Astyanax mexicanus: one gene and its partners. The protein of the gene in region 1 interacts with the protein of each later gene in a biochemical or structural test. Links are inferred from orthologs where the notes say so. Each region holds a gene or a part of one and is shown on either strand. Other genes may lie near its edges.

What was found.
Region 2: the proteins of pdzk1 (region 1) and cftr form a complex in vitro, tested with the Homo sapiens proteins (2 studies listed by BioGRID and IntAct, with this or other methods). The link is inferred for Astyanax mexicanus from reciprocal best matches to the Homo sapiens genes PDZK1 and CFTR.
Region 3: the proteins of pdzk1 (region 1) and slc15a5 interact in a test that uses a peptide from one of them, tested with the Homo sapiens proteins (2 studies listed by IntAct, with this or other methods). The link is inferred for Astyanax mexicanus from reciprocal best matches to the Homo sapiens genes PDZK1 and SLC15A5.

Annotation. Positions count from the first base shown.
Region 1 is NC_064418.1:9,927,010-9,935,205, reverse strand, and holds the start of pdzk1 (Na(+)/H(+) exchange regulatory cofactor NHE-RF3), read right to left. Parts: upstream 3,061-8,196; 5' UTR 3,000-3,060; intron 436-2,999; 5' UTR 385-435; intron 231-384; 5' UTR 226-230; coding exon 19-225; intron 1-18. UniProt on the Homo sapiens protein: A scaffold protein that connects plasma membrane proteins and regulatory components, regulating their surface expression in epithelial cells apical domains.
Region 2 is NC_064416.1:24,819,724-24,827,435, reverse strand, and holds the start of cftr (cystic fibrosis transmembrane conductance regulator), read right to left. Parts: upstream 3,165-7,712; 5' UTR 2,551-3,164; coding exon 2,498-2,550; intron 648-2,497; coding exon 537-647; intron 1-536. UniProt on the Homo sapiens protein: Epithelial ion channel that plays an important role in the regulation of epithelial ion and water transport and fluid homeostasis. Mediates the transport of chloride ions across the cell membrane.
Region 3 is NC_064409.1:54,428,748-54,436,526, forward strand, and holds the start of slc15a5 (solute carrier family 15 member 5), read right to left. Parts: upstream 3,165-7,779; 5' UTR 2,987-3,164; coding exon 2,626-2,986; intron 2,235-2,625; coding exon 2,012-2,234; intron 1,903-2,011; coding exon 1,733-1,902; intron 1,182-1,732; coding exon 961-1,181; intron 394-960; coding exon 207-393; intron 125-206; coding exon 1-124. UniProt on the Homo sapiens protein: Proton oligopeptide cotransporter.

The sequences.
Region 1 (8,196 bases):
TTGATATTAACTTTATACCTGGCTGTGTTCCAGGTTGTCAACATAAGTGCCGTTGACTCTGACGATGCGATCTCCATCCTTCAGCCCTGCCAGCTCTGCAGGACCACCCATCTCCAGGGCCCGGATCAGATGACCATCCTCACCCTGTTCAATCCTCAGGAAGAAGCCATAGCTTTGACCCTCACGCTTATTGAGAGAGATCACTCGAGGTTTGGGCACAGACATGTTTCCTAATGGAGAAAAAGTATATAGTTAAAATAGAAATTAAACTAAATTTAACTAATAATTCTGATAAATTGGTGGGAAAAAAATTATGTTAAAAATATAAAATGTAAAAAAAAATCTGCATAACTAGATGATTTAGACAATACTGGAGAAACTTACTGAGTCAGACGTCTTTTAGATGGTGGTGAAAAGAACCAGGGGTTGTGAGCCCTAAAACACAAAAATTACCTTTTTAATTGTCACCAGTACACCTGCACTTCTTTTTTTTATTTTTATTTATTATATATTTATACCGTAAATTTCATGTTAATAAAATTAACATGTATGCCTATTAAAAATTGCTAAGAAAAATTGCTAAAAAGGCCAAAAGTTTTAAAACTGTTCTAAAACAATGTCTCTGTTTTGTTTTTGTTTTTTTTTTCACAACATTTCTGTAACCATTTTTGTCTAATTTGAATTGTTTACAGTGATGGTCATGAGAAAAAAAGACATTCTCTAAAAAGCTATTAATAAATCCAACTAGTGTAAAATAGTTTTTTTGGGCATTAATTAGATTCATTAACAGCTTTTTAGAGAATGTTTTTTTTCTGACCATCACTGTAAATAATTCAAATTATCTTTCAAAGTATTTTTTCTCGTAATTCACAATTTTAATTTCACATGATTTTTCACACAGATATCTAACTGATTTTACCTTTATATAAATAATTACATGAAAAAGTGTAAAAACTATAAAAAAAAGTGCCAGACCTTCCCTTTAAGTCCTCCAGCAAGTGATTGCACACCTTTTCGGTGCCCTTTTACAGTTTATATCTAATCTTAATGATAACCAGCATTATCATTCCATACCTGCCAAATTGTTTTACAACACAAGCTGCTATAAAAGTGTAAGTTTATCAGCGGGGTGTGGTGAATGGTGTTCTTACATCACCATTTAAATCTCTTTAACGTAACACTGCGGAAAAGTATAGATTCATAAATAAACATTCACAATAATGAAAGAATGGACTTCATTATTTTATTATTATTAATTTGTATCTTTATATATTATAATTATGCATTCATGCAATGTCCAAAAACATACAAATAAAAATCCTAAGAAAAGATACTGTCAAGGTGCAGCATATAATTTAAGGTTTAATTTTTTTATACTTTAAAAGAATGCTTACATTCTTATAACCCTCCCATAACTTATAACCTGACTGTATTAAATAAAGGGAAATAAAGAAAAACACCTAGACTTAATGCAGAGAAATAAAACTGCAAAGAAATATAGATAATATATTTATTCTCCAACCAAAGTCACTAAAGATTAAATGTACTTTAAATGTACTTTGGATTATGTGACATTATTATAATATCCATAAATTACTCAACCAGTCACTTTACAACCACTAAAATCAGTGGAATATCGTACTAAATTAGGCCCACATTACTGATAGTACAATTTATAGCAATTACAGTAAAAACATGGACAGGTGGACCAGACAGGCTTGTATACGTAACGTATATACAGTGATATACAGTTAAATATAATTTTTGATGAATCTCTTCCTGAGGCTGTACAGAGATAACTGTGAGTAATTTGAGATGTGCAAATCATAGCAATTATCCAGAGCCATAAAATCCCTATCCAGACTGAAGACATGCAGGTTTAATAAGAAGATAATATGCTGACATTCACAGAATGTACTCTTGCTCTCGGATCGTTAATTGTTAAACTGGAGGTGCGATGGTAAAGTGCGTTCTTTGCTGGAGCGAATGCACTTTGCCTCCGCAATAAAAAAAATGTCAATAGCCATTTTTACCAAGCGTGAAGAAAGAGAGAAGAGGCATGTGTGAAATGTCATCTAGATTTTTATATTATAACTGTCACAAAAATTTTACATTTTCAGAATACTTCGATCAAAATACATTGTTTTCTTGAAGAATGACAAAATATTTAATATAGTTTATTACACTAAGCTATAATACAAGAAATATGAATTTAGCACTGGACATATCAATGCTGTCCAATAAAAAAACATGCATTTCCAAAAAAGCAACTTTAAGGGAAAGAGAGATCCCAAAACCTTAACTTTCAATGGAAATAAAAAAAAAAGTTTATTTCAGGTAATGTTGCAGAATTTCTTTCAGGATCTTTATCAAAAAATTGATGCATTTTAAGGAAAAGTTCGGTTTTCAAATTCTGTATAACCTAAAAATCAACAAAAATGGAGATACTTGTTTTTCATTTAACACTAATGATATGCCCTATGCATTATCATCATTTTAAAATCCATCAGAGATTACGTAATACCTCACCCATAACTAACCAACGTTACTATAGCTCTCGATCAGTTATGATATTTTCAGATTGCATGGTGATGTATTCTATAATCATAGCAATTTATGATTATAGAGCCTATAATTCGATTTGTTTTCTAATTAATAAAAATCCAATACAAAAAAATTATTTGATACTGACCTCTGAACATATTTGCCTGATTGCTAGATGCAGCTTTCATTAATTACAGCAATTCTACAGATACCAGCTTTGACTGTGTATAAACTATATGTATTTTTTGGAGCTTAATATGATCAGGACAATAATATAAAAGGGGGGAATTATTCACAGCATACTAAAATTTAAAGTCAGCAATTAGAACAAATAGAGCATGATAATGATATCGAGATTGAAAATTAAAAACTGAAATAACAAACTGATGCACTTTTGAAGGTATCACAGTTATAGATTCTAATAATTCTCTGCAGGTCAGGTAGATGCTACTCACCTGTTCAGGTCCTGTGGAAGTCCGTACTGAAAGGAGGTTCTTGCCTCTTCTTACAGATGTTATCTATCTATCTGTGTGTAAGTCTGTACCGGACTTTGACAGGCCAAAGGTTTACTTAAAGAGTGAGTTATTTAACCACATCTCGTGGCTGAACGCCTCTTCCCACTGTTGCTGTGAATAATCCTGATCAACCCTGTAAACTGCAGCAATCATAAACTTTAGGAAGGATTTGAGTTAGGATGAGAGTCTATGGAGGCTGAGGGCAGAAGTGACACGGTACTATTTCTAATTCTGTTCATTTAAATGAACTATTCAAGTGCTTTAAATGTTCTGAACTGAAGTGAGAAACAAAAAATGTCTGCCATTGACCTGTCATCAAGTATCAACGAGTAATCCAGCTCAGAAAAATAGCAATTTATTTGCGTCATCAAAAACGCTGGTGTTTGTTATAAATTATTCAGTCTTTTCACTTATTCATCTGAAAAACAAAGGCACTTTTCAGCAGAATAATTTGGGCTGCAGAATTTTCATGTGTATTACATTACAGGATTACATGTTTCTTCACAAATCAACAGAATTAAAAACAGTTTATCCTGCTCAAATACACACAATTTAACATTCAAATTTTGCGTTTAAATAAATTTTATTTTAAACCAGTTAGAATTAATAAAATCTTATTATTCTCTTTTTACATTTCAGATTTTTTACATTCTCTTTTAAGATAACAGAGGCATTTTTATTGTTGGATAGTTGATTTATTTAATTAATTCTCTGCTCACAAATACCTATCATATTTCATATCAAGCTTTTTATTTTTTAACACAAAGTATGAAGAACTAATTGGCCAGAACAGAAGCAGAATGCTGTGCTGAACCTTCAGGCTGAACCTTTTAAACATCATGCTTTTGATCTTTTGGTCCTCTCAAACCCACAGATCCTTAAATTAGCAGACAAGCTGTGGTTTAATCCTGATATCATGCTGAGAACAGCTCAGCTAACGTTTCTCTCGGTGGGAATAATGTTCCAACATTCAAGGATGAGATTTAACACTATGTGTCTACAGTCTTTCTTTTGCAGAGTAAACACAGACCACAAACTGCTCAATGTGGATCTGAAGGCAAAGTTTTCGACTGGTCTTTGTGCTGAAAGAGACGCAGACTGGGATCTTGTTCTAAGGTGCATTTCATCATTTAAAAACAGCTGTTTTGTATTTACTCAGGTTATACTTCTCTGATATTAAAGTTTGTTTGATAATCGGAATAATGTAAGTATGATAAAAAAAAAAAGCAAAAACAAGAAGAAAGCAGTAAAGATTGAACTGGTCTTTGGGCTGAAAGAGGAGCAGACTGGGATCTTGTTCTAAGGTGCATTTCATCATTTAAAAACAGCTTTTTTATATTTACTCAGGTTTATTTCTCTGATATTAAATTTGATTGATAATCGGAATAATGTAAGTATGAAAAAAGCAAAAAAATAAGAAAGCAGTAAAGATTGAACTGTTTTTTTTGCTGCAAGAGAAGCAGACTGGGATCTTGTTTTAAGGTGTATTTCATAATTTAAAAACATCTTTTCTGTGTTTACTCAGGTTTATTTCTCTGATATTAAATTTGTTTGATAATCGTATTAATGTAAGTATAGTAAAAAAGCAAAAACATAATAAAAAAGTAAAGGGGTAAATATTTTTTCTTAGCTCCACAACTAGGGAGAGAAGACGATGACACAAGTCAGGAAACCCTCTCTCTCCAAGGCAAGCTTGAGAACATTGAGACACAAGTTTTGGTTCTGGAATAAAACAATTTATTTACAACTAAACCAGAGTGTTGACTGGGTTTTTTTATGCATCTCTACAGCAGAAAAACATAAACTGAAAATACTGAATAAACCTGCCTTTTTTTTTCAAATACACTAAACAAAAATATAAACACTTTTGCTTTTGCTCCCATTTTTCATAAGCTAAACTCAAAGGATCTAAGACTTTTCCTCTGTGCACAAAAGACCTTTATTTTCTCAAATTGTGACCACAATTGGGTCTAAATCTGTGTCTTCTTTGCTGAGATAAACCATCCTCCAGTCACAGGTGTGGCATATCAAGATGCTGATTAGACACAGGGATTATTACACAGGTGTAATAATCACTGTGCATCTTAATATGCCACACCTGTGATTGGTGGATGGTTTATCTCAGCAAAAGTGAGAGAAGTGCTCACTTATAACACAGATTTAGACCCAATTATGAGCAAAATTACAGCGTATTTTGTGTACAGAGGAAAAGTAGATATTTGAGTTCAACCAAAATGTTACATTTATATTTTTGTTCAGTGTATATTAATCTGCATTCACCAACACTCAACACACTTCAATACTGTTTAATACTGTCTAACCTTTAAATACAGCGTTGCCCTCAGTGAGAGACTTACTGACATCATAATACATTTTCAGTCTCAAATAATTGAAACTTCACATTTCAGAATCAATTGAACAGAGTGATCCACAAATTCTTATCCTTAGCAGCTCAGAGAGGTGCTTTACACACACACACACACACACACCGCACTCACTAAAGCAATAACATGCCTGAGTGGGCTGTCTTTTCAATACCCTTTAATTATTGAGCAGCAGCTGAATATGCTGCAGTAACCTTGAAGAGACTGCTGAACACCTTTATTCCAAAGAACTGAAAGGTATAAATGATACTAAGTGCTTAATTTATTATTTAATATCTTTTCTAGATTTGTAACCTTTAATTTAACTTAATATTGATGAAACTTACTTTAATACGCTGCTCATTTCTGATATTAAACACATTAAACACATTTAATGACCAATTTATGCAGAAATCCAAGTAATATTAAAGGGATTTATTCACTCATGAACTCCTCTAGTGTGGGCTAGAGGATTTATACTGCTGAGCCTGAGACCCTGAGGCCAAAAGGTCTTAATCTATTAAAATATAGAATTATTATTATTATTATTATTATTATTATTATTATTATTGTGGAGGCTCCACATTATGTTAAATCATATTTTCAGGAAAGCCAGCCGTGGCTGTTGTGTAAGGACTGCATCGTCTCTCAGTGTCCACTATAGGGAGCCAGTGATTTTCTCCTCAACTCAGAACATAACTTCCTACTTTTTTTAGAAGTAAGACCTGGAAAACCAACCTGTGCTAAATCTGACCCACATTAACTTATTTCATTTGGCCCACTTGACACATAATGCCAAGTATTGATGAGCCAGTTCTAATGAACGACCAAAATATGCCTAGAACTCAACCAGCATTAGCAGGACCATGGCCAGTATACGGTATTATATTATTATTAATAATAATAAAGTACCTAAAGGACATTCAACTATCTAGTCTATCTAGTACATACTTATCACCAAGTAATACATTATTTGTCTTTTTTTTTTTTTTACTACTGCAACTTATGAAGGGCTGACCATACAACGCAATTATTCAATAAATCTATCACTGAATTTAAAATATTGAAAAAAATACAGAAATTTTCACCACTTTTTTATGCTTACTTTATTTTTCCCAGAAATGTAAAAAAAACAGGGGTTGTAAATGGAATATGCAGAAATGTGTTCTCTGTAAGTACATTGGCAAAAAAAAACTTTGCGAACTCTTTGGAATTTCATGTTTTTTTTGCATAAATTTGTCATAAAATGTGATCTTACCTTGATCTCAGTCAAGAGTATTAAGAAATATAATGTGCCTCAAAACATATAAACATTTATTTCTTTATTAAGAACATCCATAAACATGTTATAGTGTTTGTGGAAAAATTATGTGAACCCTTGTGCTTATAACCATAAAATGCTAATGAGAAAGAACTGTGTTCAAAGTTTAGTAGATTTTAACACAGGCTCAGTTTTCAAACTTGGGGCATTTTTTTACACTGGGTTTTTTCCAAACCTGTGTGTGCTTTCTCCAGGGCTTTGGTAGAATTGGTCCAGAGTGAGCGCCCAAGTTTAGTAGTGGTTTCTGATTGGACAGCGATTACATTTCATTTAGGCACAGATTCTGCGCTGCTCCTAGACGAAATGCAATCCTGTGCATTGTGATTTTCTTACGAACAGTCACAGCGCCACACAGTGGAATAACATGCAGTTGAGCATTGTAAAAGTTTTGTGTGCAATTCTAAAACAATTCAGCATTTGGTTTTGAAAATGTAAATTCTTGTGTATTGTTTTAAGAACAGATTTTTTAATAAAGATCAGATGCAGTGAAGTGTAATGAAATAGTGGTTTTACATTTCAGTTTGGCATTTATTCTGTATGTTATACAGAATGCATTTTGCAGATTGTAGTTTTTCCACGATAGTGTTTGCTTTTTAATTTTGCACTAATATCTCTCCATACAAGAAAGATATGCATACATTTGCACATACATACTCATGCACACACTCGCATACTCACACACACCCTCGCACAATCATACACACACGCGCATTTACATACATGCACACACACACTCACATACTCACACACTCACACACACTCATGCACACCCTTGCATACTCGCACACTCACACACTCAAATGCTCATGCACATACTCACACACTTACACACACTCACATACTCATGCACACACTCGCATACTTGCTTACTCAAACACTCGTACACACATGCTCACACACACACACACTAACATACTCATGCACACACAGTCACATACTCACACACACAAACACACACACATGCACACTCGCATACTCACACTCATTCCTCAAGTCCCATCCTCACTGCTTCATCGTCTCTCTCAGAACCAACAGAGCGCTGATGACAGAAAAATAATCTCTCTCTCTTTTTCACTTTCTCTCTCTCACTCTCTATCTTTCACACTCTCTCTTACACAAACACACTCTCTTTCTTTCTCACACTCTCTCTGTTACACACACTCTTTATTTCTCTCCCTCTCTCTCTCTTTCTCTCCCCCTCTCTCTCTCATACACACGCATGCTCTTTCTCTCCCTCTTGCGCTCTCTCTCTCGTCCACACTCTCTCTTCCTCTCTCTCTCCCCCCCCCCCCCCCCCTCTCTCTCTACTTTATAACAGCTGTGCGCTACAGGGAAAAAAGGAATCAGCAGCAGAAGCACTAAACCGAACAGAGAGTTTTGAGTTCAACCTGAATAAAAAGAGCAGTTTCAGGCAGATCTGCTGAACGGACTGTAGGTTTCTGATTTATTCTGT
Region 2 (7,712 bases), on another chromosome or scaffold:
TGAGGACTAAAAATACTGCCAACTATCCATCACTCACCAGGGGCCTGGCACTTTAAAAGGTCGTGTTTGATGCCTGTTAAAGGGGCACTGGCACCCCAACCCAAGAAAATGCATAGTGGGTGGTGTGAAACATGGCATGTTAGGGCTTTTACTGGAAGGAGCAAGGCAGCATTTACTTACAACACAAAACATCTAACACTCTGACTCAAAGGTGTGACGGTGTTTAGGCCAGCTTAAGTAACAGGACCTTTGAAACCTCTGGAAGCTGCAACAGGAGCAGGGACAACACATCCTGTGGCTGTAAATAGGGTTGTGTTATGAAATAAAATTTCATGTTTAATGTTAACAGAGTCACTCTCTGTTCATCACTGAATGAAGGAGTACTGGGGGAAATTGGGGATAACTAACATTAAACAATAAAACAATAGAAGACTATGAGCCTGGCATCAAGCAATAAAACAATATCTTATCTCCACAGCAGCAAACTTATAATCTCATTCATTATGAGCATGCAAGGATGAGTAGGAGACACAAACTTCTCAAGCCGTTCTGCAAGTACATCAGCTGTGTCTTGTGATGCCGTTTGATACACATCTGTTGGCCTCAGTTTCTCCCTGAAACCCTTTCGCATAATAGGGTTTGTCCACCTGCAAAAGGTCAGAACAAATAAACGTCAGTCAAATTGTTTTTGGGTGTTTCGATGTCAGTGTGTCTATAAAGTGTCTATAAAAGTGATGCTACAAACCTGCAAAAGTGTTTAAAGTGTAACACTGCTTTTAGTAACACTGTAGCTAAGAGACACATGCAGTAATTAGCTGTTCAGTTCAGTGTTTTCCTTATATTGTTGTTGTTGTTGTGTTGATCTCCAAAACAGAAAAAACTCAAACATATCTTAACTATAACTTTCAGATACAAGATACAAGGTTCTTGCATAACAATGTATTTGACTGTTGTCACACAATTTCTATTTTTATTTTGTGGTGTTACTGGCATTTTTATATTTTAATTTTCTGAATTTTTTCTGAATTGGAACAAAACCTATTTACATGTAGTCTTCCACTAAAAAATCTTATTTTTCCTTCTCCTAAAGCTGCAATTTTGAAATGAATTTGTTCTTACATGGCTTCATTTGTTAAAACGTGGTAGATATAGGGGGTGTTCAAACAAATGCTTTTCTATGGCTAAATCTTAAAAAATATCAGTTTAAAAAAATACAAATGTGAGGTTTATTTCCAGCTAATGGTTACTTATATTATAGATCAATCTGTTGATTTATTGTTTGGTTTTTACACTCTAAAAATGGTTAGATGCATTTTTTCCAATACTGGTAATAAGCAAATGTACACAGTTTGATTATTTATTTTATACTCATTATATTGCTGCAAATGTACTCTTAAATCTAAATCTGCCAGGGATCAAATTTTATTTAAAAAAATCAAATTAAATATAATCAATATTTATTATAATAAAATTATAATACAATCGAATATCTAATCTTAAAATATTTTCTTTAGCTACATCTTAAGTAATTAACATTTTAGTAATTAACATATTATTATTATTATTTTAAACAGAGGCATAGTGTGGAATCTGTGGTTAGCTAAAGATGCTTTAAGTTATCTAGCGATTTATGTGAGCTAGCTAAATTAGTTACTATTTTCGTTTATTTTGTATTTTTAGAAAAGTATATTTTAAGCAAACACTGTTTGACTGAAGTAGCACTACTTTTATCTTAAGATATTGAGCTGAAAAGCGAGTCTGGAGAGTTGCTGAGGCTCTGTTCTGCTTTCTGTGAGTGGCTGAAGACTTTGATGCTTAATTTATTACTAAAATAGTTAAAATTTAGTTAAATAAAATATTTGTCATATATTTGATTGTCATTTTATTATAAATATATATACAGCTCTAGAAAAAAATAAGAGACCGCTTAAATAGTGAGTTTCTTTGATTTAAGCAAATTGAAAAGGAAAATGGATGATCACGATCCATCAAACCAAGCTGAACTGCTAGATTTTTTGCTCCAGGAGTGGCATTACGTTATCCAAAAGCAGTGTGTAAGACGAGTGGTGGAGGAGAACGTGCCAAGATGCATAAAAATTGTAATTAAAAATCAGGGTTATTCCACCAAATACTTTTTGCATTATTTGAGGTCTGAAAGCTCTGCATCTTTTTTATTTCAGCCAATTCTTATTTTCTGCAAATAAATTCTCTAAATGACAATTGTTTTATTTGGAATTTGGGGGAAACATTGTCCGTAGTTTATAGAATAAAACAACAATGTTCATGTTACGCAAACATGTACCTATGAATAGCAAAATAAGAGATTTTGAGGTGAAACTGAAGTGGTCTCTTTAATTTCTTCCAGAGCTTTATATCTATATAAACCCTATATGATACTGCGAGAGCAGCTATAGCCTCTTTCTCTCAGTATGTCTTCACTTCACCTTTTGTAAATGAGTTTATATTCAGTGCGTGGAATATTCTAGCAGCTCCTTACCAGAAGAAGTATCTGGAGAGGAAACTGGCCTCATCCACAGGTGACTTGTTCATGCTCGCCGAGCCCGGGCGCGGGAAGCAGCTCTCCGCTCACATCTGCTGTCCCTTCAATAGGGCTGCTGTCCTCCACACACACTCACACTCATACACTTAAGGGGTAAGGGGTTCTCCGTATTTCTCCCCGTTAAGAAACCCCCCCTTCCCCACACCGTCTCACAGCGCTGTCCGTGTACTTGGTGTGTGCGCGTGGACGTCGCGAGCCCCCCCGTGATCCGCGCGCGAGCAGCACCGCACTCTGTCCGCGCTGCACTGCGCGAGCTCCCCTGTGGGCACGCCGCTCTCGCGCGCTCTGCCTTTTAAACACAATCAGCTCACGTGCGGCGCGGCGAGGAGACACGATATCCAAACACACAAACAGGCGCGCGGAGGCGGAGGAGGAGATCTGCGCGAGACTCGGTCATTCAGAGCCCACAGTCACCACATATTCACACCACTGTACCTAACTCACACTCAGTGCAGGAAGCGCCCTGCACTCATTCCCCACATACAGACATCATCAACACCGACATTAACCGACACATGGATTTCCTTATACTGACTGACCGGTTTAGCTCTTTTCCAGTACAGGTCGTTTGAGTTTGGTGGTTTATCTATTAGCGTGATCAACCTGACCACGCTACAGTGGCTTGCAAAAGTATTTATACTCCTTTATTTTTTATATTTTGTCACCTTAAAACCAACGTATTTAATGTATTTTACTGAGATGTTAAATGAGAGAGCAACACAAAGTAGCACATAATTGTGAAGTGGGACAGAAATGCTAAAAAACAGCAAAAGCAAGCCGCCTGGCCTTTTTCCCCCTGCTTGACCTGAGCATGTACTTCAAACCAGCTGTTTGCTCTCCAATTGAGCAAAAGATGCTCCACATATAAACTGCTAACACATTTACTTCCTTAGTAAAGCTACGAGTCGTCTCTCAAATATGATATTTATTGTTGTTTGGGAAGAAGGCTACCTTTATACATGTATTAATGTGCGCATGTGAGGCGTTTCAGAAATAGATTCGTTCACATTACACACAAATACGGGTCAATTACATTTGTTACAATGAACCGCCAAATCCAATCTAAGCAAAAAATCGTATTTGAGCAATGTAGCTTGTAATGTGAACGTAGCTTTAATTATTTAATAACTGTGTGTAATCTTTTCTCAGTATAAATACACCTGTCCATCATTTAAAAATGGAGAAGTATACTACAACTGCAGTCCCACCAAGACATGGTCGTCCACCCAATCTGACAGATCAAGCAAGGAGAGCACTGGTCTGAGAAGCAGACAAAAAACCTGTAGTCACTCTGGAGGAGCTGCAGAAATCCACAGCTGAGCTGGGAGAATCTGTCAACAAGACAACTATAAGTCGTGTACTCCACAAATCTGGCCTTTACGGGAGAGTGGCAAGAAGAAAACTATTGTTGAAGGAAAGACATAAGAAGTGACGTTTGCAGTTGTGAAAAAGTGACAAAAATGATAAAAAGTTAAAGAGGTCTGAATATTTTTGCAAGCCACCATAGTTGACCAGCATTAACAACTTTCCTCGACAAAGGAGGAAGATAAGTCTGGCAAGTTGGTTGACCAGCAGGACCAACATGACCAATGTGGTTGACCTGCATGAAAAATGTGGTTGACTAGCATAATCAATATGATCAGCATTGACCAGCATGACCAGGTTGGCTGAGTAGAATGAAAAGCTTGTTGACAAATTTGATCAGCATAACGTGGTGGTCAAACCGCCTAAATAAGCTGATTGGCAACATGATCAGTGTGGTTGACCAGCTTGACCAGAATGGCTAAGGTGGTTGAATAGTCTTAGCCTTACCTGGTTGACCAAACTGCTTGACCAGCATTGCCACGGTGGTTGACTTGCATGACCACGATGGTTGACCAGTATGGCGAAAATGGTTGATCAAGCTTGTTGACCATCATGACCAGGTTAGTTGACCAATGGTTTTCAATGCTGGTGAACTATTGTATAACCAAAGTAGTTGACCAGCATGGCCAAGCTAGTTAAGTATGACTTGAATGAATAGCATGACCAGCCCAACCACACTGGTCAACCTAGCTGACCAGCTTGTCCATCAAACATAAACATTAATAACATTCTGTCCTTATAGTTGCACCTGTCAAGAGGTGGGAACAATAAAAAGTAAATAAGGATATCTCTATATCTCCTGACATAGTTTCCAATCGGAAGAAAAGGAAGAGTGCAACATGTCTCTCCTGCTGCTCAAACAGGACTCCTGCGATAAACACCTCAGTAATCTCACATATCTCCCATCAAGTGACAAAGGCAAAAGTTTCAAAATGAACTACAGCATTTCTTATTCAGGACTAAGGGCCTTTTAAACTTTGCCATTGTGAATTACTATTGTATTTCACTACTGTTTTTGAATTCACTCTGTATTTGAATACAATAGCTATAGTACAATATCTTTGATCTGGAAGCCAAGGTAATCAAACCACATAAACATTAAGAGAAAAAACAGTTAACGGTTGAAGGTAAATAAGAAAGAGGGTAAGCAGCAACAAGAAAAGGAAGAGGATAGGAAATTCTGGATAAATTCTGCTCATATGAATTTTTTACTACTCAAAACTAGTTCTGATAAACACAAAGGGAAACTAATTGCTGAAGCTATTGGTGCAGTAGTTATGCTGGGTGAGACTGACAGCCCACTACTAATGCCACATTTGTAATCACAACATTTGAACAATAAGTTTCGCCTTGGATTTCATATTAAACCACTATGAATGACTTTCAAGTTCACACCTCAACAAATTAACTAAACCTGGTGGAATTTCCCTTTAATGAATCATAGCGCAGCACAATAACAAATGAACAAAGGATTTACTGCAAAACTAGTGAGCAATACCTAAATAACTGAATCATTGACTCCCCCTATAGATTGAGACAACAGGAATGAAACAGTTGTATTTACAGTTTCAGTATAAGCAAGAACTGTTTTTTTCAGTATAAGCAGAAGTGAATATTGGCAGCACAAAATTCAATGCATGTTAACTTCTAAATGTAAATATACTTCTTTTAATTACTATAAAATGTTTTTTGTTCTCTTTTTTTAAAAATTAAAACACATATGAAAATACACCAGATCTGAGAAGAATGTCTGGTAAAGAATGTCTGTTTGGCTGACATTTACACTGACATGCCAAAAGGCATTACCACACATGGTGAACGGCGTTGTGGGTAGTAAGGATCGTGACTGGAAGCCAAAATTGTTTGTGCAAACAAACAAGAAACTGTCAGAAATCATGTCCCCATTCAACACAGGAGGCCCCAAGCAAGCATAATCTGCAGGTCAGTGAACCATTCTTTAGCTTCCATTAGACACAATACTAGTTTCTGTCCCATTACTTTTGGAATGTCAGTATTTTTTCTGGTAAACCATACCCTAACTGTACCATTTCTGCCATCGTCTAGCAGAGGAAGTATCAGTTACCCACTGCAGGAGGATCAGGAGTCAGACAAATATATATCATTTACCTGCAATTAACAGAATGCCTTGTCCTGTTTTGTCAAGATTTACCACCCTTAGGAACAGTTTATTAAAACCTAAGGGTAACTAAACCCACATTAAATAAGTAATGCAACACTGCCCCAACACTGACTTTTTTAAACATTTGTAATTATTTTACACAGCTCTAAATGCACTATTTATTGTATTGACTTACACACATTTTAAATCAAGAACAAAAGACTAAAATGTAGCATGTCCTTGTGAGCATAAAACCCCCAAAATTAAATAGGATGCATCCACCAGCTGAGAGGAAACTGGTTTGGATGGTCAGGAACAACACAAGAACCATCAAGGGACAGGCCTACCATGAACTGGAAGCTGCTGGAACACCTGTGTCACCCTATACAGTTAAGCAGATTTTACACATTACCATAAACTGAGAGGCTTCTATCCAAGACTCAGGCCCCTGCTTCAAAAACTGTAATGTTATGCTCAACTACATTGACAAGAAAAAATACTTCAAGCAGAAAGGTTTATTGTCAGATGACACAAGGAATGGCCACAGTGACCAAAATTATATTTGGAGAGTGAGGCATTCATCCCCAAGAACAATATATAAACTGTTAGGCATGGTGGTGAAACCATCATGTTCTGTGGTGGACTGCCCCTCCCTTCTTCAGCTTAAGCTCAAACCATCAGCAAGGCCTGTTCCATTAGGACAATGACACACCAGACATGGTTGTGTAATGAATAAAGCAGTCTAACTTTAGGCTTTTTAAATTTTGGAGACTTGAAGTCATGACCTCAGACCGAAATTATGAACTGTGCATTAGAGTGGTTACATATAGGCCAAGTCATTATGTTTATATGACATATTTCAATCATGCAGAACTGACATTAATGTATCGGTTATTATCGATATAACAATCCTTTCATGTCTGCAGCATATTTGTTTAAATTTCATAAAACACTGTGCAACGGACTGTTTAGGATTAACTTGTTTTGTTTCCTTGTTGCATGTTCAGTAATTAATAATATTAATTTCACTTAATATTTCTTCCTTTGTCTGTATATTTAGCTGAGGTAGAGCTTATGCAGTCCACCCTATTGTTGTAAAATATCACGGTAATTAGAAAATCAAAATGTATCTTCAAAACATAACAAGTTTACCATAAACAGTGAAGTGTGAAGTCTTATAAATATGTAAAAAAAACTAATAATAATAATAAAAAAATTACATCTTTGAGGGCCAAAAGGCACAAAATTCTGATAGCAAAAATGTGAGCCATCGTTATTAGAATTATCAGAGAAATGGTTTGGGAGTTTATGCTGTTTGTGTGCATGAGTTTGGGCATTTAGAGCAGTCTGAGTGAATCATTTCGACCTGCTCTCAGTTGCTGACATGCTCTAGATCTGTAATGAAATTACGGATGATAAATAAGCAGTCACATGAAAACAACTGACTGTTCTCACTCAGTTCCAACTATTTAAACGTACAGAACAACAATTTTGGTTCTTTTACATACAGAACCCTTCAATGAGTCCAGGTGTGATCATCACAGGCGTGCCCTCAGCACACCCTTCATGTCATCATAAACTGCTGGTGCAATAATTTCATAATTCATTTAACAGTGTATTGTTGGCACTGAGTAATTAGCAGGTAAGACCTTCAAAGAAGGAAATGCG
Region 3 (7,779 bases), on another chromosome or scaffold:
GCCATTGAGGACACCTGTAGTACTGTTCCTGACAGTGTCTGCTCCACCTGAGAGAAGTCTTTCCTGTGGATCTCAGTAATCCCTGCAGCTAGTGCAGACAGAGCTGCACAGGCATGTCCCGCTGCTGCAAGAAAAGATGTCACAAAGTAGAGCTTACTACACTCCATACCTGTCACACTTACTTATAATTCATTGGACATGCATACTTATGAATTTGGCTGGAGAAGGAGGTGTTTTCTTCAAAGACTGATAACAGGTGCCAAAAAATTCCAGTAGTGGTGCTAAAATTAGCAATGGCAGGATACTGATCACATTCATAGCTGCTATAGGAAGGAGGAAACCATTGAAGTTCAGATTTGAATGCATGGTCTGGAGGTAGTATCCTGATGGAATCTGTGAAGATGCAAATTATGTTATTGGTTATACAACTGTGGAATGGACATCTGCGCTCAGAGATAATACCTAAACAGAGATAATATGAATTATAATAATAATAATAATAATAATAATAATAATTGAAGATTAAATGTTCATCATTACATTATGTATAAGATCAGTTTATGTACAAGTGGTGGAAACGATATGTCTGAATGTTTGTGGACACCCCTTCTGCAGCTATTGCTGACACAAATGTACAAATGGACATATATAAACTGCTTGTCTAGTCCCTGAGTGCTACCAATAGTATAGGAATTTTTCCAAAGCAGCTAAATGTGAATCTATTGGCACTATGCCTAATGCCAGTAGTGGACTGGAGGGGTATAAGTGCAATCAAATCCTCACAGCAATGCTCCAAAATCTAATAGATTTCCCTGGACAGGAGCAGGGGTTTTAGTACTTTTGTCCACTTATTTTGTATTTTATAGGTGCAATTATAGGAAGTTTAGGTCAAATCGTACAAACACCTTTTTATTGTGTAACAAACATTAACAGAAAATTTTGTTTCGCATATATACTTACTTGGGTTATACAAGCCCGGTAGAGCAGCTGCAGTCCAAAAAGAGGAAAAAGCTTAACCAGGATCTTAACATTTTCAACACTGGTCTCACTGTAGCGTCCTCCATTGTTCTCCTTGGCACGGTCCAGCCAATTATTCACGTCTCCACTCAAATGACGATAATGGAGGCAGGACATTTTTAAGGAGTTTAGGAACACACCCAGTGTGGTCAGCAACAAACTGGCTGTGTGTTTTCCCACACATGAAAGGTCAATGGAATGAAGGAAGAGAAGAAGACACAATGATCAAATACTGTTATGTGAAATTCAGTGTCATCTATATATAGAGGGTACACATATGATATCACAGTTGGGGAGAGTCTGTGTGATTATGCCCAGTGGCAGTATACTGAGTGGCAGCATTAGCGTTCATTGTAAATGCTGTGAAGACACAAAATGGGAAAGAGCCCTTGTGTGATTAAATATAAAAACTTGTTGAAATCAATGTACATAACAATGTAAGGAAACCTAATTTCTAGTTTCTAATTGGTCTGTTGCTCTAGAGCCCAACGGCCTTCAATTTAAACACATGACCACTTGTTTCATAGCTGGTTTGGCTGTTTCAGTCTGACCAAACGACATGTTCTGGCAGAAACAGGACTCCAATGAATACCATCTATTGCATATAATTTATTGCAGAAGTTTTGATCTATGCAGAATTATATAAACAGCACATTTATTTTATTTGTGTATATTTGTATATCTGTTTATCTGTATGTGTTTGTTAGTCCATTACCTTTCTTTGGATGAAAGATGAGATTGTTGCGTGCCATGTGTATCGCAACAAGAGCCAATAGAACAGAGGTGAAGGGAATGAGAAAGCCCAGGTTTTTACCCACAGACTGCTGAATATAGGAGATCCCCAGGAACACAACTGTAGAATTGAGATTCACAAGCCAGTAGAGCCTGTGGTTATAAATACCATCAGTTTTACATCAATAGCATAACCTTCCAGAGATGTACAAGCATTTTGATTTGCTCTTAATTATCTATAGTTAATGATTTAATGTCTTACCAATTAAAAAAGGACAGTATCTGGTGTTGGTCATAACCCTGAAGGTAATAGGCACTTAACGGGCATAGAATAGCACGGAAGCCCCCAATACCCAGGGCAGCGGCTAGCAGCCCAACGTAGAAGAGAAGCTGTTGCTCTCGTGGCTCTAGTCGGTGAATAATATTGTGTGTGTCAATGTAGAAATCCTCAAAGGGGAATGCAACAACAGGGAGCATGGCAGTACCTATGGACAGAAAATCAGGACTTAATGTAATGTGAATTGTTATTCATTCAAGGCTTGTAAGACAGTGTTGGACTCTTGGAATATATTGACATACAGGAGTCTACATGCCTTCAGCAAATCCCATGCTGTGGTATCTGATATACCACTCCAAACATGTTCTCCATCGTGACCATATAACATCTGATTCATGTAACAACATTTACCACAACCGTGTGCATTGTACAGACCTTAAAAATGCTGATACAATCTGCATTTTAACAAACACACATTAAACAAATTATTAAAACACATTTTAATCAACACATACATGAATCACATTGTAAGTTTTTTCTACATATTTTAGTCATACATTTTTTTGCATTGTTTCTTAATAACAACAGTGTCAACTTACCTATAAAATGGAGCAGAGCGCAAAGATAGAGTACTTTTGTCCTCCCCAAACACGTCTCTGCAAACCAGCCCACAAGAACAGGTGTGAGTGTACTGGCTCCAACAAAACACAGGTTGACTGTGGCAGCTTGGTAATTGTGATATCCCAGCTTGATGGTGCAAAAGAGGATCATATTGCAAACAATCCCAAAGAAGGTGAACCTCTCGAACAATTCCACAAAAAGAATACAGATAATCACCTGCAGCTTCTTTCTGGACTTTCGAGGCTTATATGGGGTGACCATCCCACTCGGGCGTCGAGCGGTCGAGACCCTTTGCAGTTGACGGCCACCATGGAGGCCAGGAACACTGAGAGACGCCATGCTGCTTCTTCAGGTCCTCCTGTGTGAAGTGCTGCTTGAGCACTGCAGTATCTTCTCTATCCAATCTGGGAAACAACAAAGCAATTCCTCACAGGACTGTGAAGTCTTATTTGCCAGCATCTACACGTGCAGAAGCTCATGCTGATCTTCTCCTGTGACTTCTGAGTAATGTTTGTTCACCTGTTCTCCTCACTAGAGTATGAACTGACTGCTGCTGCTGGTTTCTGAGTCAGCTTATTAGGGTGGTGGACATGATGCCAGTGTGGTGACACAAGCCTTTATACATGAAAGTGATGTCAGGAGTGTGTGAGATATTTTTGTAATGAGTTTCTAAGTGGATCTAGGTTATCATTTATTAGTCTGTTAATATTAGTACCCTCCCCCCGGTGAGGAGAAGTGGGCCTTAGGAGAGGTGGGAATTGTGAAATGTGTGTAAGTGACTTAGCTTATTATTATTTTGTGATTGTCTTGAATGCTTGAGTACTGACATAAAATGGTCTGTTGACAGCATTTGACTTTGGGACTTCAAGCAAGGATATCATTGCTGTCAAACAAAAAACAAATCAAGTAGCAGCTTTACAGGAGAAGGAAATACCTTCTTGATTTTCAGTGGAAGTCAGCATTCATTTTGAATGCTATAGTTTAGAAGATTTTTAGACACAATGATATGTTAACTACGGTGGCCGAGAAAGCCCAACGCAGTGCAAATGGAAAAGCGCTGCAAAAGCACAAAACACATCCATCAAAATTACAACACAGGCGCAGCAAATAGACAAACGCGCTGCAACTAGAAAAACGCGCTGCAAATAGAACCACAACACAACGGAAGTGAGTCACAACACAACGGAATTTTCCCGGGGGACCTTAAAAGATACTGTACCAGCTAAGCTGCGTCTTCAGTAACGTCTCGGACTTCACTATGTGTACAAAGGACAATAAGTGGCAAACAAGGCGTTTTGTGAAGCAGAACTTTTAATAATATGCACACAACCGTGGTAATCACAGGTAATAAACATAACTTACTTTTCAGAAGCTTGTTTGCCACTTATTGTCCTTTGTATACAGCTGGTACAGCATCTTTTAAGGTCCCCCGGGAAAATTCCGTTGTGTTGTGACTCACTTCCGTTGTGTTGTGGTTCTATTTGCAGCGCGTTTTTCTTTTTGCAGCGCGTTTTTCTATTTGCTGCGCCTGTGTTGTAATTTTGATGGATGTGTTTTGTGCTTTTGCAGCGCTTTTCAATTTGCACTGCGCTGGGCTTTCTCGGCCACCGTAGTTAACACAATATAAAGGACAATTGCCCAGATTCAAAAGTTCAAAACTTTTAATGCACAATATATTTAATTTGTAAATAGTTCAGGAGAAACAGACTGGTTTCATAAGCATGCATTAAAGTAGTCCGTGCTTTCATTCAAGTTTTAATGATCAGAGATTCCTACAGCATGTCACAGACTAGTGTGAAAATCTACGCTCTGTACAAAGGCTCCAGAGAGTGTTTTGCTTAGAGAGGATTCAGGGGATACACTACTGCATACAGACAAAATACTGTATAAAAGTCCAGATGTGTTGTTTAATTTTGGAAACACAGAACTCTAATTACTCTAAATATGGTTTTGATTCTTTTGACAACATGCTTGTCCAAGAACGACATTTTTTTGTTACTGGCAAATAGTGTGCCACAACCTTCCCGTAATAGACCTTTCTCATAGTCACTGTAGCAGGTTTTCTGTCAACAAAATGTGTATATATCTGTAATAATGAAACTATTATTTAAGTACATTTAATATATTTAATATATTTAAAAACTTTAAATATGGTCATCTTTTTACACTTTGACATTCTAACAGTCATTCATTAAGACTAGGAGTGCTCACATCCAAGTTTTATCTTAGTCATGCTGAGGTAAATTACCCAACAACATTAAGTGTAAAGGCAGCTGCTTTCAGATAATGGAGTGTATCAGAGTCTGACCCATAAAAAATACATACTAAATACAATGCTGAGATGTCTGTCTTGTTTAAGGACTTTAAACAGACTTTCTGGAAAAATTGTCAGTATGACACAGATGGGAGAGTAGGATAAAAAGAGCCACTGGATAAGTTGAAACACCACCTGTATCTGGGACACTGTAGGTCATTTTAATCATGTAAACTCACATTTACTTAGATTTGTCTTGACCCCAGGCTGAGCTAAAAAGAACACTTTCATTGTGCCCCATATTTTGTTGTCTAATTGAGTTTTATTTGGGGTTTTAATGTTTAATACCTCACATTCTGAACTTGTGTTGCAATTATTGAATTGCTTTTCTCTTAGTTATTGTCTAATTAACTAAATGGTCCTTTTCATACCTCACTCTACCCTACATCAATGAATCGATGTTGATCTTCAGGTTAATCACCAGTATGAATAAATATGTCCCATCGCTCAGCCCTGCATTAAACCTGGTTTAGTTTAACTCTCATAACATGTTGCCTCGTGAAAAATGACACATGAGGATTTCCTGGTGTAGTTAAACATTTTAAACTTGAGTTATTGATGTGTTTACAACACGATCAGACACAAAGCTGTTGAACTCCACTATTTGTGCTTCCACATTAATGAATGTGGAAATCTGAGAACGGTCTATTAGGAAACTTTAGAATTTGTTAACAATGATCACAATTCTGTTGTAATTGGCCGTGTAAACTAAATGTACAGTAGTTAGGTATTCATGCTTGCACATGTTCAATATTATTTCATTTAATTGCCCCAGTTTTTCAGAGAGATTGAAATAATTTGTCATTTCATGGAAGGAAGAAATGGCCTTTTGAAGTTGAGGTTCTTTGTTTGTGCTTGTTGGCCTATTGCCATTTGGCATCACACACTCACTGTTCTGGTTGGTTGCGGTGTGCTGGACTTGAATATTTCTGCCTGAGCTCACCAATTATGAGCAGAGAAAGGGCCACACTGGTGGTGCTGACTGGGCGTGAATGGGGCTCTAAGCTAGCGGAGCTACGTTGAAAAGAGAAAGGAAACCGGCAAGACTGAAAGAATACCAGCTCTGTGTGGTGCATCAGTGAATGAGCCTGCAGTTTGGTCTCCATGGATCCCATCCTGCGTTTCATCGTTTCATCCTGGAACGCTTGATGAATGATGAAATCATTTTTCAGGAGATTTCCAGGAGTGTCTTTTTTATTGTTTAATTGGTCACACCAGGGGAATAGTTAATTTGACAAAGTAAAGACACATGACATCACAGAAATCCATACTGACATGTTACATTAAAAGTATTTGCCTCAATAACCTGGCTTTGTTTAGTGCTTGTCAGTGCCTCTGAGGTGCAGTTGCTTTAGTTTACCAGTAGGAGGCACTGTTTGAGTTGGCATGGATAAGACGTGTACAGTACCAGCATGTGTGCAATAGAGAAATGGTCAAATCCACATAGCTGTAATGAACTTTATATACATCAAGAGTGTTAAAAAGGATTTTATTTTTGCTTTTGTTAAAGTAACTGTCTCTACTGCTTAAAGAAAGTTTTTACTCAGTTTTAGAACATTGCTTTGAGAATCTGATTTGGTCACATCAAGTTAAAAGAGCATTAGTGGGGAGGTCTGGATTTTGATTGAGATGAAAATGCATACCAAACATTAAAGTTAATCCTATTATCGTGAGGATTCCCAGAACTGCGAACGCAGGTAGTGCGCAGTTTTGTTCCGTTCTCACAATATGCTTTTCTGTCTCCTGGTGCAACTACTTAAAAAAGCATGCGCTTAACAGTGATGCCTAATCCTGTTATTATGATGGTTTTAGGTCCCCAAGCACTGCAAGTTCCAACTCTTTAGATAATTTTTTAAATAACCTGCTTGACTGAAGACAGGTGTGGTCTCCTCAGGAACTGTTATTGATACCTGTAATCTGTGTGTATACTAATACTTTATAGAGCACATATATTGCTCAAGGTCTTTGTACAGGTCCAATCAGAACTTTTTGTTCAAATCAAATTATGGACCAGCATCACTACGCTGTTTGACTATGTTTTTTCTTTGAGTTTGATGATTTAGTTGGTCTATAAACATGACTAACATGAAGAAGCTGGTCCACCAGCCTGACCAGCATGACCAGGGTACCAAAGCATGACCAAAATCAAATACAGCACAAACTGTGCTGGTTAGAATTTCGTTAACCAGCTAGCTTACCAGCAAAGTATGTTTTTACCTTAATAACCCTCTTTTCCAAAAACATGACTATCAAGGTCCAGCTTAGACCATTAAAAACCAGCTAAAAATCAGCTAAAGTTCGTCTTGAACTAAAATTTTTAAATAAAAAAATATTTTCTCAAAACACTGCAAATAAAAAAATTAAAAGAAAAAAAAAGTAACAGCTGCCCTTTTCTATTATGTAAATATGTGTACTATTAAAGAACTGCTAGATCCAGTCCTAAATGCTTCTATAACTAAAATCATAGCCCACTAAATGCTAATTTAACCAGATTGTAATTTTAAGCATAAGCTTTAGTAAATGTAAGTACTTGCAGAATAGCTAATGAACATTTCCTGTGTTTACGACTGTGTAATCATGTAGTTTGTATATGGAAGTCTTTTATGTCCTTGGCTTGTGCCCTGCAGCTGTGCATCTTTGTGGGTCTACATGTAGAGTTTGTTGTTGCAGAGTGCCAGGAGTCGTGTTTAGAATAGCCTGTCAGCTCTAATGAATTCGACAGTCTACAGGTGTGCTTCTTGAGCTGCAGCCATTACTGATCTGCAAAAGATTCAAGTGTGAAAGTGCACAGCCTTAGCTGTTTTAAATCGTTTTTGCT